2 linked regions of the Rhinolophus ferrumequinum genome follow. The protein of the gene in region 1 purifies or fractionates together with the protein of each later gene. This does not show direct contact. Links are inferred from orthologs where the notes say so. Each region holds a gene or a part of one and is shown in the gene's direction. Other genes may lie near its edges.

Region 1 (8,007 bases):
ACGCATATGTATAATAGCTAATGCTTATTGAACACTTAGATCCTTCTCTAAGCATTTGATGTGAAATAACTCATTCAATCCTCGCAACAAATGTATAAGGTACAAATGTATAAGGTAGGTAATATTACTGTGTACATTTTGCAGATCAGGAAACTGAGTAACTTGCCCAAGTTACCCAGCTAGCTAATGGCAGAACTAGGATTTGAACCCTGGGAGTCTGGCTCCACTACTCTGTACTCTAATGTCTTTTCTTTTTTTCTTTTTAGATTTTATTGGGGAAAGGGAACAGGACTTTATTGGGGAACAGTGTGTACTTCCGGGACTTTTCCAAGTCAAGTTGTTGTCCTTTCAATCTTAGTTGTGGAGGGCGCAGCTCAGCTCCAGGTCCAGTTGCCGTTTTCTAGTTGCAGGGGGCGCAGCCCACCATCCCTTGTGGGAGTCCAACCGGCAACCTTGTGGTTGAGAGGACGCGCTCCAACCAACTGAGCCATCTGGGCACTGGGAAGCTCAGCGGCGCTCATTGACTTCATTCTAGTTGTGGAGAGCGCAGCTCGCTGGCCCATGGGGGAATCGAACCGGCAGCCCGGTTGCCCAGAGCTCCCGCTCTAACCAACTGAGCCACACCCGTCTGCCCCCTTCTGTACGCTAATTTCTGTGTTACACTGCTGTTACAAGGGTGCCGGTGCCCCTGAGAAATACACAGTAATGAAATAACAAGAGACAGGCCTAAGCTTCATAATAAAAAGTGTAGATCAGATATAAAGTAATTTTCCTAAAAATTTAAGTGATGGAGAGCCTTTAGAAGGAGGCCAGGTTCTCACCCACTACAGGCCCCAAGATGGATTATATGACCTCTCAAATCTGTTTCCAATTCTATGGCATATTGAATATATCTCCTAAGATTCACACACATACGCGCGCGCGCGCGCGCGCGCGCGCGCGCGCACACACACACACACAGCATGATTTAGTAGCTGTACTTGGAAATATCAGAGAGTGGTTGGATTTACAGCATTCTGTAATTTTCTCTTGTATTTGGTAAAAATTAATATGATACTTTTGTCTTGAATTCTGTTGTACTAGGTTGGGGGGAAATGCATATGTACTGCCCTTTTCACTTCTTTTGGACTGTTACAGAGCTCTAATACTTCCCCTTCTGACTTATAATATTCACATAATTAATTATTTATGTAGCCATAAATGATGGTAGAATAAAAAAATTAAACCCATACTCTATTACTCTTTTCCTTTCCTTTTTTGGTATTTCCTTTAAAATGTCATTCTAAATTATGATGCATCTTAAAGAAAACTTTAATTTATACATTGGCAGAGACTAGGTCTTTAATTTGTTATTCTTTCTTTAAGCATCTAATATAGTACATGTTAAGGTGCTTATTGACAATTAGGTTGGTTTATTTTAATTTAACACATTCAAAGCAATTCACAAATATTCTCAGTGGCAAATAGAGCTCTCTCCTAATTTATAGAAGTAAAAAAGACTAGACCTTAAAGACTTTAGGTCTTTGTTACCTTCTCAGGGACTTTCCTAAACACTTTCCCAACAGGTTACTGTTTTGTTTTTTTGTCCTTTTCATAGATGTTACTGCCATTTACTATAGTAAGCATAGTTTATATCTATTTTACATATTTAGTTTATTTTCTGTCTTCTGGCAGTAGAATGTAAGCTCCATGAGGGCAAGGAGATTTTTGTGTGCTTTTGTTCACTGCTGTAGACTCAATATCTAGAATAATGCCTGCTATATAATAGGTGTTTGGTATGTATTTGTTGAATAAATGAATACAAGAGATCCAGCAAACAGATTGGATAATCTTTCTCAACCATTGTTAATGATAATTCGTATTTATTGAATATTTTCTTATCTTCTTTGATTATCATATTGATCTAGGATGGTCGGTATTAATATTATTACTGTTTTCCAGTAATTAAGTAACTTGCCCAATGTTATTCAGAAATTAAGTAGCAGAAATTGGTTTCAGCATTAAGTGAAAGAAGACAGTCACAAAATGCCACATATTGTATGATTGTGTTTATATGATTTGTCCAGAATAGGTGAGTCTATAGAGACAGAAAGGAGATCAGTGGTTGCCTAGGGCTTGGGCAAAGGGAGGTTGGGAGAAGAAGCCTAATAGGTATGTAGTGAGTATCTCTTAGGAATGACAGAATGTTTTAAAATTAGACTTTGGTGGTGGTTGCACACCATGTGCATATACTGAGAACCATTGAAGTTTGAACTTTAAATGGGTGAATTGTGTGGTATGTGAATTATGTCTCAATAAAGCTGTTAAAAATAAAAAACTGATTTTAAACTCAGATTTCTCTGGTTTAAAGCTTCTAATCACCTTCTGTAAGGAGCCAAAACTGGAGAAATGGCTGGTTCTGGTTCCTGGTTGGGGAAAGCACAGGTTTCCTGGAATATCATGTGCTAGAAAGTAAACAGGTACTCAAAAACTGGGACATGTGCAAAGGATTGCAAGTGGAAAGTGTCTTCCCTGGTCAAATATAAGATAATTCAAGAATCAAAAATTAAGGTGATAGTAATTACTGTCAATATTGCTACTAAAAACAAAAACAAAAAAGCCAAAAACAAACAGAAAACAGAGGTGGTGGGAACGAAATGAAAGCTTTCCTCACATAAAAATATCACCTAATTAGCATAGATGGAACAGATGAAATGATAGGAGTGTAATATCATTCTACAACCACTATAGTAATAATTGATTCAGGCAAGCATCATGAATGGATGCTAACACAAAGAGTGAAAGATTCTAGGGGAAAGGCTCACACAGTCTCAAAGTATTATCCCACAGATTACTTAAAAAACAAAACAAACAAACAAACAAAACAACTGAGGTGAAATTCACATAACATGAAACTGACCATTTTAGAGTGAACAATTCAGCAGCATTTAGTACATTTACAGATAGAGGTGGCCACCACCACCTCTACCTAGCTCCAAAACATTTTCCTCACTACAAAACAAAACCCTGTACCCATTAAGCAGTGGCTCCTCATTTCCCTCCCCCCAGCCATTGCCACCACCAAACTGCTTTCTGTGGATTTGCTTATTCTGGACGTTTCATAAAATTGACTCATAATATGTGACTTTTTGTGCCTGGTTTCTTTCACTTGGCATGGTTTTGAGGTTCATCCATATTGTAGCACATTGTATCAGCACTGCATTCCTTTTTATGGCTGAAAAATATTTCATTGTATGTCTTTACCACAATTTGTTTATCCATTCATACATGGGTGGATATTTTTGGGTTGTTTCTAACCTTTTGGCTACTGTGATTCATGCTGCTCTGACCATTTGTGTACAAGGATTTGTTTGAGTACCTAGAACCATAGAATTGCTAATAATTCATTGGTTAGCTTCTTGAAGAACTGTAGCACTATTTCCCACAGTGATTGCACCATTTTACATTCTCACCAGTAATGTATGAGGATTCCAATGTCTCTACATCCTTGCCAATACTTATTTTCCATTAAAAAAAATTATAGTCATCCTATTAGGTGTGAAGTGCTATTTCATGTGGTTTTGCTTTTTCATTTCTCTAATGATGTTGAGCACGTTTTCATCCACTTGTATATTTTCTTAGGAGAAATGTCTGTTTCTTGAATCTGTTGCCCATTTTTCACACAGACTAGTTTTCAAATACAAAAGAAAAAAGTACCTTCACCATGGAGAAATGATTAAATGTAACATCATCAATAATGGAACAAACTGACGTGATATCCTTTCTGTAGTGGCAATGTGCTAAGACGGATACAATATCATCTAGATAGAGTGCCTGATACAATTATTTAACTTGACTCTAATAGAGAACAAACTGAGGAGCATTCTGCAAAACAGTGGAATTGGATTCTTCCAAAGAGTCAATGTTATAACAGAAAAAACAAAACAAAACCAGGGATTACTCTAGACTAAAGGAGTTTAAAAATACATAACAAACTAAGCGCAATGCTTGATCCTTGATTGTATCCTGGATTGGGGGGAAAAAAGTGAGCTATAACAGACATTTTGAGAATTTGAATATGGCTTCGGTATATTACAGATAATAGTATTAATATTAAATTTTCTTGGAGTAATAATGGAATTCTGATTATGTAGGAGAATATCTTTGTTCTTAGTAGATATTTATTGAAATATTCAGGGGTAAAGGATAACGATGTCTGTGAAAAACTCAAATGATTCAGTAAAAACAAAATAACCAAACAAAAGCCCCATACACACCACACACATATACATAGGTAAAGCAAATGTGGTGAAACCTTAAAAATTGGTGAATAGGGGTTAACATGGATGCTCATTATACTTTACTCGTAACTTTTCTGTAGGTTTAATATTTTTGAAAAAAAGTTGAGAAAGTAAAAAGCTCTTGAAGTCCAAGCAGAACTTTTTGTTCTTTGGGTTTAGCGTCTTTAGAATAAAGGCTAGCTACTTTGGTCAGTTAAGAATACCGTTGTGTAACCAAAGAGAGAGTAAATGATCCGGGTTATCTTTCAAAGTATTATAATTACTTAAATAAAAAAGAAAACATTGCAGTTATCATTTTGTCCCACCATCAACTTAATTCACATCTTTATTAGGAAGCATGCATGATACGCAGAAAGTTTGGATCAGCCAGGCCTAAATTTGAATCATTGCTAAGTAAACTGTTTGACCTCTTTAGGACTCAGTTTCCTCACTGTAAAAAGGAAAAAATAATTACTTGGTGGGGTTGTTGTGTTACACAGTCGTACACATGGTATTTATTGAGCGCGGCTTGAATTAACGTGTAAAAAGCGCCAACCTACTTTCCATGCTATTTGCAACTTTTCCTTCATTAAAGTCAAGCAATCCTGTGGGGTAAGTAAAGGCGAGAGATAAGATGACTTCTCCAAGGTCACACAGCTAGTGAAGGACCCAGGTTGCCCAGCTCTTGGTCCTGTGACCTTTCCACACTCGCCCGAGGGGAGAAAGCGGCGCTCATGGGGATGCAAGGATGTAGAGGAGCCAAGGGGGAGAAGAGGCCGCGCGAAGAGCGGTGGTGTGAGACCCGCGGAGGCGCGGGCCAAGGAAGGGCACATGGACAGGCGGGCCGCGCCACTGGCCGGGGTGAGGCTGTGGCTGGAGAACGAGGGTCGCGCGGCCGGGTGCGGGTGAGAGGCGGGAGGCCCGGGCCAGCCGCGGGGGCGCGAGAGGCGGAGGCCCCGGCCGCGGGAGGGGGCGGGGAGGCGAGGGCCGGCGCGGCGGAGGTCGTGGGGGGTCGTTTCCGCACCCGCGGGGCGGGCGTGGGGGTGCGGGGCGCGCGGAAGGAACCGGGCGCGGGGGTCAGGACCCCACCGGGTGGGGGGGCGGGGCGGGTCTGGCCGGGGGCGGGTCTTGCTGGGTCCCCCGCGGGAGCGGCGGCGGCAGCAGCAGCGGCGGCGCAGGCGCGGTTCCCGCCTCCTCCCGGCTGGCGGAGCGAGTGGAGGCTGCAGCCCGGCTCCGCTCCCGCGTCGCCGCCGCCGCCACCGCTGCGGCCGCCGTCGCAGAGCCCCCCCGCCCTCCTTCCGCCGCGTCGGTATGAGCTCCCGGAAAGGTGAGTGGCCCACGGCGTCCCCTCTTCCCTGCCACGCGGCCCCGCAGGCCGGCCTGCCTGACCGTTAATGTATGTCTCTTCTTTCCCCAGTGCTGGCCATTCAGGCCCGAAAGCGGAGGCCGAAGAGAGAGAAACATCCGAAAAAGTGAGTCCACGCGGCGCTAGCACCCGGATCCCCGCCCCCGGCCGGTCGGGGGCAGCCCGCGACGGTGCCCGGGAAGTTGCCCGGATCCCCAGGGCCAGCGGGCAGGCTGATTCCCAGGGACGCGGGCGCTAGCCTCCTGCGCGCCCCGCGGGCGGCCCGGGGGGAGGGGCGGAGGGCGGGGGAGGGGCGCGCGCGAGCCCGCGGCCGGCGGGTTGAGCATCCCCGGGCGGTCCCTGGGACCTAAGTCGCCGCGGCCGTCGGGGCGGTTGGATGAGGAGGTGCCGGGCGTGCGCCCGGTCGCCTGCGCGCCGAGCTGTCCCCGGAGGTCGCAGGCCTTTCCCCGGAGGGGCGCTGGCGCCGGCTGCGGCATGAGGCTGCCTACCTGCTCCCACCTGGGCACCGGGGCTCGAGAGAGGAGGAGCCGAGTGTACGAGAGAGTGCGTGTGTGAGTGTGTGTGTCGCGTCCTCGTCCTCCCCGGCCCTTGCCTGTCGGCTGAAAACCCGAGCCAGTTGTCAAGAGGTTCGCTCCGGGAGTGTTCCTGGCGCGAGTTCAACGCTGAGACCTGTGCATTTCGGCGCTTGGGTTTGTATTCGAAACTTTGTGCTTGGGCCGAACGTGACTGCTGCGCTGGACCGGTGGGCGTGTGCGCGGGCGGTCCCCGGCGCGGCTTCCCGGCCTCTCATTGTGCCGCGAGTTGATGAATAGGGTGGTGATATTTAAAACGTGCCAGTCGCCGGCCACCTCCAGCCTGGCTGCGGACCGTAGTGGGAGCGGCCGGCTCCCGAGAAGCCTTTCCTGGAGAGCTGCTCCGAGACTGCAGAGCGCCGCCGCCTCTTTTTCCTTTTTCTCTTAATTAAAAAAAAAACATCTGCCAGCGTTCAACATCTTTACTCTGTCTAGATTTGTGGCTTTGCTCTTCTTTTTGAGCAAGGAAGGTATTTTTGGTACTATGAGGAATGACAGTCCATGATCTTTTAATAAAATCACCAAGTATTTCCTTTTTGTTTCCTTTCGGGGGGGCTGCCTGCAGCATTCCTAGACTTTCTTCTTTCCTGGTCGCCTTGGTCTCCGCTTAGCAAATTTCGTACCCGTTGGTATCTATGCAAACTGCCTAAGTTATTGCTAATGTATATCATGATATTATTATGACAGGAGTTTTGTTCCTTTTAAATGGAATATAATTTGAAACTATGTTCAGGATTTCACAAAATATGGATATCCACCTAATGCCTCAAAAAACTTACAGAGTGTGGGAAAAATACTTAAATTAAGAACTTAAGGAACTGATGGGTAATTTGGTAGTTTTAGATGCTTTAAAACAATTAATGCTAGCTTTCAAGTCAATCTTCAATCTGGGATTTCCTTTGATGAACGATTAAAGTTGAGCCAGTAGGTAAGGCGAACTAATGTTTAGGATCTTGAGTTTTAGTCACAACTTTCAATTCAAAGCATTTATTTCCACATTGCTCATTATGTTCAGAAACGTAAAAAAGAATTGAAAAAACCCTGCCCCCAATTTTGGGGAATGACTCTGTGTGTATATATGTATACTTATGTGTATGTATATATACATATGTGTGTTAAATATATGCATACATACAGAAAAACAGTTTTAGTTAAGTCAATGTGTGTAGCATATTTTCATATTTCAGGGTATGACTTTCCTAATGGCTAAGAGCCTTTTTTTGGTGTGCTGCAGTTTGGATTTATGTGGTATGTTTATAAAGAATTAGTGTGTATCCAAGTATTCAACTGTTACTCACAGATTAATCTGTCAGTTTCTTCTATTGTCTGTTGTATGTATTTGATAAGCTTTGAGGGAAATCTCCCCTCCCCCCCGCCAGTGACTAAATTAACTGGTTAGTCTGCAAGGTAATTAATTAGCAAGAGCAGATTGGTCCAATTACATAAGTGTTTGATTAAGACAATGTCATTTTTAACTTAATCCTTTGAATCAAGATATTATTTTAAAGGAATGCTTGATATGATTTATGTATTCATGTATTCAATAAGTATTTGCATGCCTTTCCTAGGAGGCGGTGATAGAGCTTTGAACAAGCTGAACAAAGCTACTCCTGAAGCTTATATTCTATGGGGGTTTGGGGAGAATTCCAAAGAAGATGGATTGTGAATGGATTGTGGAGGACGGGAGAGGTACATAATGGGAGCTGGCCAATTATAGTACTTGGGAAACCATGGTGACTTGGTTTAGGGTGTAAAGAGTGGCACGCTGGAGAGAAGAGCTGGTGGAAGAGGGACTTGGGGAGACTGGGAG
Region 2 (7,016 bases), on another chromosome or scaffold:
AGTTGAATTCCTTGCCCTGATGTAGCTTACCTCCTACAGCTTACGTTCTAGGGGTGAAGTGAAGGTAGGAGACAGACAATAGACAAGTAAAAAATAAATATAGATAATGGTTCACAATCGCAAACAAATAAAATGTGAGGTGGACATGCTTTACTTAGAAACTTTAGGAAAGTCCTCTTTGAGGAGATAACATATAAGCTGAGATCTGAAATAATGAGGAGCCACTAATGCTGGAGGTGGGAACAAATACAAAGGCCTAGGCAGCTCTGTTTGGGAAACTGGCAGCCTGCATGGCTAGAGCACAGTGAAAAGAAAACAAAGGATATGACAAATAATACCGGAAAGGCAGGCACAGGCTAGATCACAAAGGGCTTCATCAGGAACACTAAGGACTTTTGAGTTTTATTTTAAGTGCTATAGGAAGCCACTGAAGAGTTTAATATAGCATAAGAACTGATCATTTTTTCATTTTTACCAGTTAAAGAGATAAAGGCTGAGACCTATGATGGAGATAGAATTGCCAGAACTTAATAGCACTGCTCAACTTTTCATGTCCAAAACTACACATTAAAATGCCTTTAACCTACCTACATTGGGCATGTGTGACTTTTTTAATGGATGTGTTTTATAAGGTTTAAAATAATTTAAGATAAGAAAATGCCACATACCGAACAACAGTATACCTTACATTTACAATATATGGCAAACATTCAAATTACCTCATAAACTTTAAGGTTAAGAAAAGCATTCACATCTGAATAGCAATTGACCTTATAAAAAACAGATGCAGTTGACAGTTTATCATTTATAATTAAAACATGATTACCAGCATTTGAAATCTTTTCAGAGCAGGCAGTGCCTGCATTTCCTGGGGCAACCAACACCTGTTTGACATGATTAGACTGTGCAAGTTTCCACGCCAGTGCATGTTCTCTTCCTCCATTGCCAATTACAAGTACTCGGGCTGCCATTGCTGTCTGCAAAGTAGGAATTCAGAAGGAAAATGAGAGCTGCAGAAAGAAAACCACAATCGGTATTTCAGAATGCACATACTTTAGAAATAACAATTTTTAAATATGATGTATTCCAACAATTCATTTGTGAAAAGTTAGGATGAATTTGAGAAATGAAATAATGAGAAATATGACTGTATTCATGATTAGGGAGGTGTTTTAAAAATGAGGCAGACAGGCCTAGAGAGCTAAGTTAAGGAGTAAAATGGTGACTTTAACTCCTTATTGGATTAATAAAAACACAAAAAACAAACCTTGTATGAACAATAACCTTCTGGGTTTTTAGAAGATATAATAATCGAGCCTCAGTTAAAAATGAATCCTGATGTTTTACATCTAGACCAGAACTCAAAATAACTATTTTTAAATCTTGTGATCATCTGCTGTAGCATGAAAACAGCCATAGACAATATATAAATAAATAAATGTGGCTATGTCCAGTAAAAACTTACAGAAACAGGCAGGCCATGGGCAGTAGGTCATAGTTTGGCTATCTCTGCTCTAAGCAATAGAAAGTAATCAGAGGTTTATAAAGAATAAGCATGGCTGTGTTTTAATAAAACTATTGTTTATGGACACTGCAATTTGAATTTTAATTTTCACGTGTCATAAAAACACCGTTCTTTTTCCCCCAAACATTTAATAACGTGAAAACTATCCTTATTTGGTGGGCTGTACAAAAACAGTTGACAGGAAGGATTGGCATAAAGGTCATAGTTTGCTGACCTCCGATTTAAGAAATTAGTGCAGTATTTTAGAAAATCAGTAGAGAAGGCAAAAATCAAATTTGAATATGTCTCACATTGTTCTGGAATTTGATTCTGAGCAGGATGGGGCAACAGCTATCTCTCCACTGGTTAGCAGTGTGACTTTGGGTAAGCTCTTATTATTTCTAATTCAATTTCTTCACATCTTAAAAGATGGGAGAAAATTTGCCTTACAAGGTTACTTAAGGATGAACTGGAAGGGTATTTATATAAACAATTAGTACAATTTCTGACATTCAGCAGTAGTAAATGCTAACTTGTTATATTTTATTAAGTACTTTTACTTAAAGTAATACTTTAGAAGTTAGAAGTTCTAACAGAAAAAAAAGCAAAAGGAATGAATAATTTGGCAAATTAATTTACTAATTTTCAGAAGACATTTAATTACGTAGAAGGCAAACTGAAAATGGGAAAAAGAAAACTGAAATTTGTAACTTCTTGTGAGATGCTAGGATTACACATTTAAATAAAAACCTAAGTTGATAATAGAAAAAACTAACACTTTTTGAGCACTTACTTTGTGCCAGATGCTACATTCTAGACGCTTTTCATGAACTACTTTGCTTAATCTTCCTAATTCTATGTGATACTATTACCATCCCCATTTTACAGATAAGAAACTGAGGTACAGTTAGGTTAAGTAACTTGCAGGTCAGAGCTCATGTATTGCAACTGAAGCAATTTTTCATCAGATACTGTAACAAGGAGATGGTGGTCATTGAAAACCTGAGGGAAAAAAATTACTAAATTATCTTCTCAGAAAGGAAAAAGTTATTTTAATTTAACAGAAAACACAGATTTGCCATGTGCATTGAAACATCTGAAAGAAACACAGCTTTAAAACTAGAGAAAATATTACATTTTGTTTGAACAAGAAGGGGAAGAGAAGACTCAGCCTGAACGAATCTACACCAGGAGTGGTCAGGCCCAGGCTCTAATCCGGGTGCCTTGGTTTGGGTTGAGACACTGTCCCTTATTAACCAGGATACGTTGAGGGACTTAACTTTCTCGGGCCTCAGTTATCCAAGTGAGTAACATAACGAGATGAAGAGAGCCAGGTAAAGCCTGGCTTTCAATGGATTTGGTGAGTAACATAAAGTAAAAACCAATTACAGAGGTGGACTAATCTGCTAGACACAATGGGTGCATAACAAGAAAATATACAACTTATATTTATGACCTAAAAAAAGAAGCATAAAGATACAAAAGGCCTGAATCTTAGAAAGCAGGGAAAGTGACAGATCCAATGTAAACCTCAGTTAAAAATGAAAAGCACATGGCGAACCCCCACTCAGTGCATTTAAAAATTGAGTATTCCTATAGCCAAACCAGTTTCTACAGCTATCTCACAACTGGAGTTAGTTCATTCAATTCCTAATATTAGATCCCCAAACCAAAGCATAAATGTACTTTACTTAAAAGCGCCGAGGGCTTACGCACGAACACAATGTCGACTCAAGGCCTTCTGGCCGCTGGCACTCACAAGTTCGACTGCGCGCTTGGAGCTCGAGCGCCCGCGCGCGCCGGAAGTCAGCCCACCGGGATCCGGGGCGCGCGCCTCCTCCCCGCTCCGGGCCCGCCCCGCGGTGGGCTTCGCTTCCCCATTGGTCAACGCAAACCGTGGTCTCTGCCGCGAGGTAATCAGTGTGTTCCCTCCCATTCTTGGGTGCGGCCTGAGCCCACTCCAGCGCAAAGCTAGCAAGCCCTTCCTTGCGTGCTTATGTGATACTACAGCATCAGGTGCCACCTAAGGTCTTTATTCCTCCCGGAGAGCGTCCCGGTCTCTGAGGAGGGGGAGTGTCCCAAAACGCTGAATCCACACTTAGCTAATTGTGTGTTGCTAACGAGTCAGAATCGAGCAGCTACAGTGATAGTCTCGCCTGGCTCCTGACTAGCATGCACCAGGCTTTGAACGCAGGTCGCGCAAGACTTCCTATTGCTTAAAAACAAAACTGATTATAGGCTATCATGGGGTAAAATCGTGTCCTTCCTATTGGCATCTCAGTGGGGGCGGGCGCTGATTAATGCTTTCCCGGATGCATCTCCCTTGCTGAAACAACTTGGGAATGTCGGAGGCCCGGTATCCAACGTGTTGCCCTTCTTACCCCCTTTCCTCATAGTATTTAATCTCGGGAGTTTAGTGGCTAAAGTAAGCCTCTTAAGCTTCCAAACATTGTTGGGGACTGACAACTTAAACTGACAAAGTCGCCTCGAGAGATTTCTCCTGTAATGGCGCCTGCGTCAGTCACTAACATGGCGGACAGAGTCGTGCGCGGCGCAAACGTCAGCAGCTCTACCCAAGCCGCTCAGAAACAGCGGAGGAGAGCAGGGCCGTGCTCACTGATTGGTACATTGGCAGAGCGTGCAGATCCGGACGCTCCCACAGGAGCCAATCAGGACTGCGAGAGACGGAATTGGCCCCTGCGCCTCCTCCCGAGGCATTCTGGGAGCCTGGAGGACTAGCGAGGAGGAGTTGAGAGAACGGAGCGGACGCCATGGCGACCAACATCGAGCAGATTTTTAGGTCTTTCGTGGTCAGTAAATTCCGGGAAATTCAACAGGAGCTTTCAAGGTAGGCGCTTCCCAGACTCTTCTGCTCCCAAGGGATCGATAGGGCATCATGTAGTCTTCCATACCACCTTTATTCAGAGACGCCGTCGTTCCCTGCCTCAGGCCCCGCTACAGCCCCGCCTGGGCCTGGGATCCATTTTCCGCCCCCCCCACCCCCATCCGCTCCCTCCCTTCCCAGCGAGGAACTTCGCTCTTTCCGAGGTAATCCCAGACTCTTCTCCAGGACCGAGTTAAGAAGCTCACTCTTCTCTCTCGTTTGGTCGTCCCCTACCCTTTAGTTAGTAGGCCTGGTTGTCCACTAGGGACGGGCCTAGTTCCTCCTCAGCTCCTCCTCCGCCGCCGCGTTTCCCCTCCCCCTCTCAGCCTCCGCGGATTTCGCCGGTCGGTGCCTATGACCGGAAAGGGTCTCTAACGGCCGTTTTTTTGACTAAACTTAAATCCGCTTTTTACTGCATGCTTCAGACCATTTGGGGGTCGGGATCCTCTAATTAGATTATTTGGGCCCTAGTGTCCTGTGGCTTCCACCAGGCAGCATTGTAAGTTTCGGAATTCAAATTAAAAAAACTCAATTAATGTTAGCTGCTTTGACAAAAATTTCGAGTTGAGGATGGAAGGGGACTTTGAATTACTACTAATTTCTTAATTTAGCAAGTGAAAGATGGGCTTTGTGTGTAGATCTAAATTTTTATTTGCTATCGTTGCCCCAATTGATATATTTGAACAACACATTCCATTTTGCCATTGCTGGTAGACTACGTAGTTTATCCTTGGTTCCACAAAATTTGAACGAGGAGAGAGTTCCAAAGAAATAGTTGTTTACTCAGAGGAAAATAGTGTGGGTAATGTGGTTGTTCACTGGTTGTCTTTCAGTATTTTTTGCTTTGTATAACGTAAATATTTGTTCCGAGTCCAAATGTTTTTGCTAGTTTTAGTTTAAAAGTTGAGAGCAGGAGCAATAAAAATCAACGGAAAACGCAATTGTAAATTAAGCGCTCGAGTTAACAGCGTTATTGGAGCAACGATATAGTATTGCTAGGATTATTTTTTACAGGATATATTGTATTTTAAATGGGAAATATATCCGCTTACTCATTCCATTGCTTTCAAAAATTTTGTTACATGCTTGTATTTTCAGGATGATGGGAAAAGACCTGAGCTAAGGGAATATGTAATACATATATTTTGGGGGGGATACATTCTAATAGTCTCGTGCAGTAAGTGGTTGTGTTTGCTTATTGTAATGTCTTTTATACCTTTTAAAATCGGTTTTTGTGTTAGAAAGTGTTTTGTTGTGAAAAAATTTTAAAAAGTTTAAAAGGAACAAAATTAAAAACCACCACAGTTATTGATGTTCTTTGATTTTTTTTTTTTCCTGTGTGGATAGATGCACATACATGTCTTGTGATATGTGATTATCTTGTGTTGGTTGTTTTTTCACCTAATATATTGTGAGCAAGGTTGTCTTTAATCAATCTCCATAGTCTTTTGGGACTTATGGGACATTTTTTTCATGGTTCCGTAGAATTCTGTAGGAATGTGTTGATGGATGTTTAATGGTTTGAAATTTTCATCCCTTTTGAGGAAAACATCCTGATAGCTTTAAGATGGTTACTTTCTCATAGACTGACTTTTTTTAGTTGTACTTTTCTGATTTTTAAATCTGTTGCCTTTTTAGTGAGGTAATTACGTATGTGTAAGTGCTTAGGAAAAGTGCTTTGGAAGGAAATTCTAAAGAATATCAGAGAAAGCAATTTATTACTAGAGGAATATTCAGCTCCTCAAATAACATGTAATACATTATCGGTCGAAAAACAGATTTTTGATATTTGCCATTTCCATGAGCTTTATGTCCCATCTATTTTTACATATGTCAATTTCAGTAAGGAGACTGAAATTTAGATAGTTAAAATAGGTTGTTTATTATATATAGATGGTGGTTAAGAGGATGAGCTCTGGCTTTGAATAGCAGCTTCACCTCTTAATAGCTGTGTGACCTACAGCAAGGTTTCTTGTCTTTTCTGTGCCTCATATTCCTTATTTATAAAATCAGAATAATAGTGCTGATCTTAAGGTCTCATTAGAATTAAATGAGTTTAAAAAATGTAGAACCTTGTGACACTAATAGTCAACAAATGTTAATTATGTGCATCATTGTATTAGAAAACCAAATGTTCCTTAATTAGTTAACTACCAATTTTTTTTGATCATTCAGACTTTTCATCAGGTAGTGGAGCATAATTCCATCTGTTTTGTTAGCTAAAATGTAAGTTAAATTGAATGTGTTCTTGAAATTATTTTTTAAAACAATTTTGCAAATTTATACAAAAATAGTGGAAATGACCATGTAAATGACATGTTCTTACGTTTGTTAAGATTCTTGTAAAACAAAACAAAACAACCTTTAAAAAAAACCCAAAACCCACAAAACAAATGAACAAAACAAAAACAAACTCATAGATACAGGAAACAGAGTGGTGGTTATGAGAGGGGGAGAATGTTGGGGAAGAGGGAGGAAGAGGTGAAGGGGTCAATGGTGTGGCGATAGATGATGGTATCTGTCTAGACTTTTGATAGTGACCACTTGTGGTGTATATAGATGATGGATGATTATGTGCACTTCAAGACACACACACACACACACACACACTTTACCCCAATTAAAAAA

What was found. The genes of interacting proteins can lie anywhere in the genome.
Region 2: the proteins of SRPK2 (region 1) and SON purify together in Homo sapiens (affinity purification with mass spectrometry; 4 studies listed by BioGRID and IntAct, with this or other methods). This does not show direct contact. The link is inferred for Rhinolophus ferrumequinum from reciprocal best matches to the Homo sapiens genes SRPK2 and SON.

The regions. Positions count from the first base shown.
Region 1 is NC_046303.1:48,818,210-48,826,216, reverse strand, and holds the start of SRPK2 (SRSF protein kinase 2), read left to right. Parts: upstream 1-4,990; 5' UTR 4,991-4,993; coding exon 4,994-5,120; intron 5,121-5,453; exon of another isoform or gene 5,454-5,570; coding exon of another isoform or gene 5,571-5,586; intron 5,587-5,676; coding exon 5,677-5,731; intron 5,732-8,007. UniProt on the Homo sapiens protein: Serine/arginine-rich protein-specific kinase which specifically phosphorylates its substrates at serine residues located in regions rich in arginine/serine dipeptides, known as RS domains and is involved in the phosphorylation of SR splicing factors and the regulation of splicing.
Region 2 is NC_046285.1:99,475,807-99,482,822, forward strand, and holds the start of SON (protein SON), read left to right. Parts: upstream 1-4,005; 5' UTR 4,006-4,275; coding exon 4,276-4,352; intron 4,353-7,016. Other genes in the region: GART (trifunctional purine biosynthetic protein adenosine-3), read right to left, coding at 827-971. UniProt on the Homo sapiens protein: RNA-binding protein that acts as a mRNA splicing cofactor by promoting efficient splicing of transcripts that possess weak splice sites.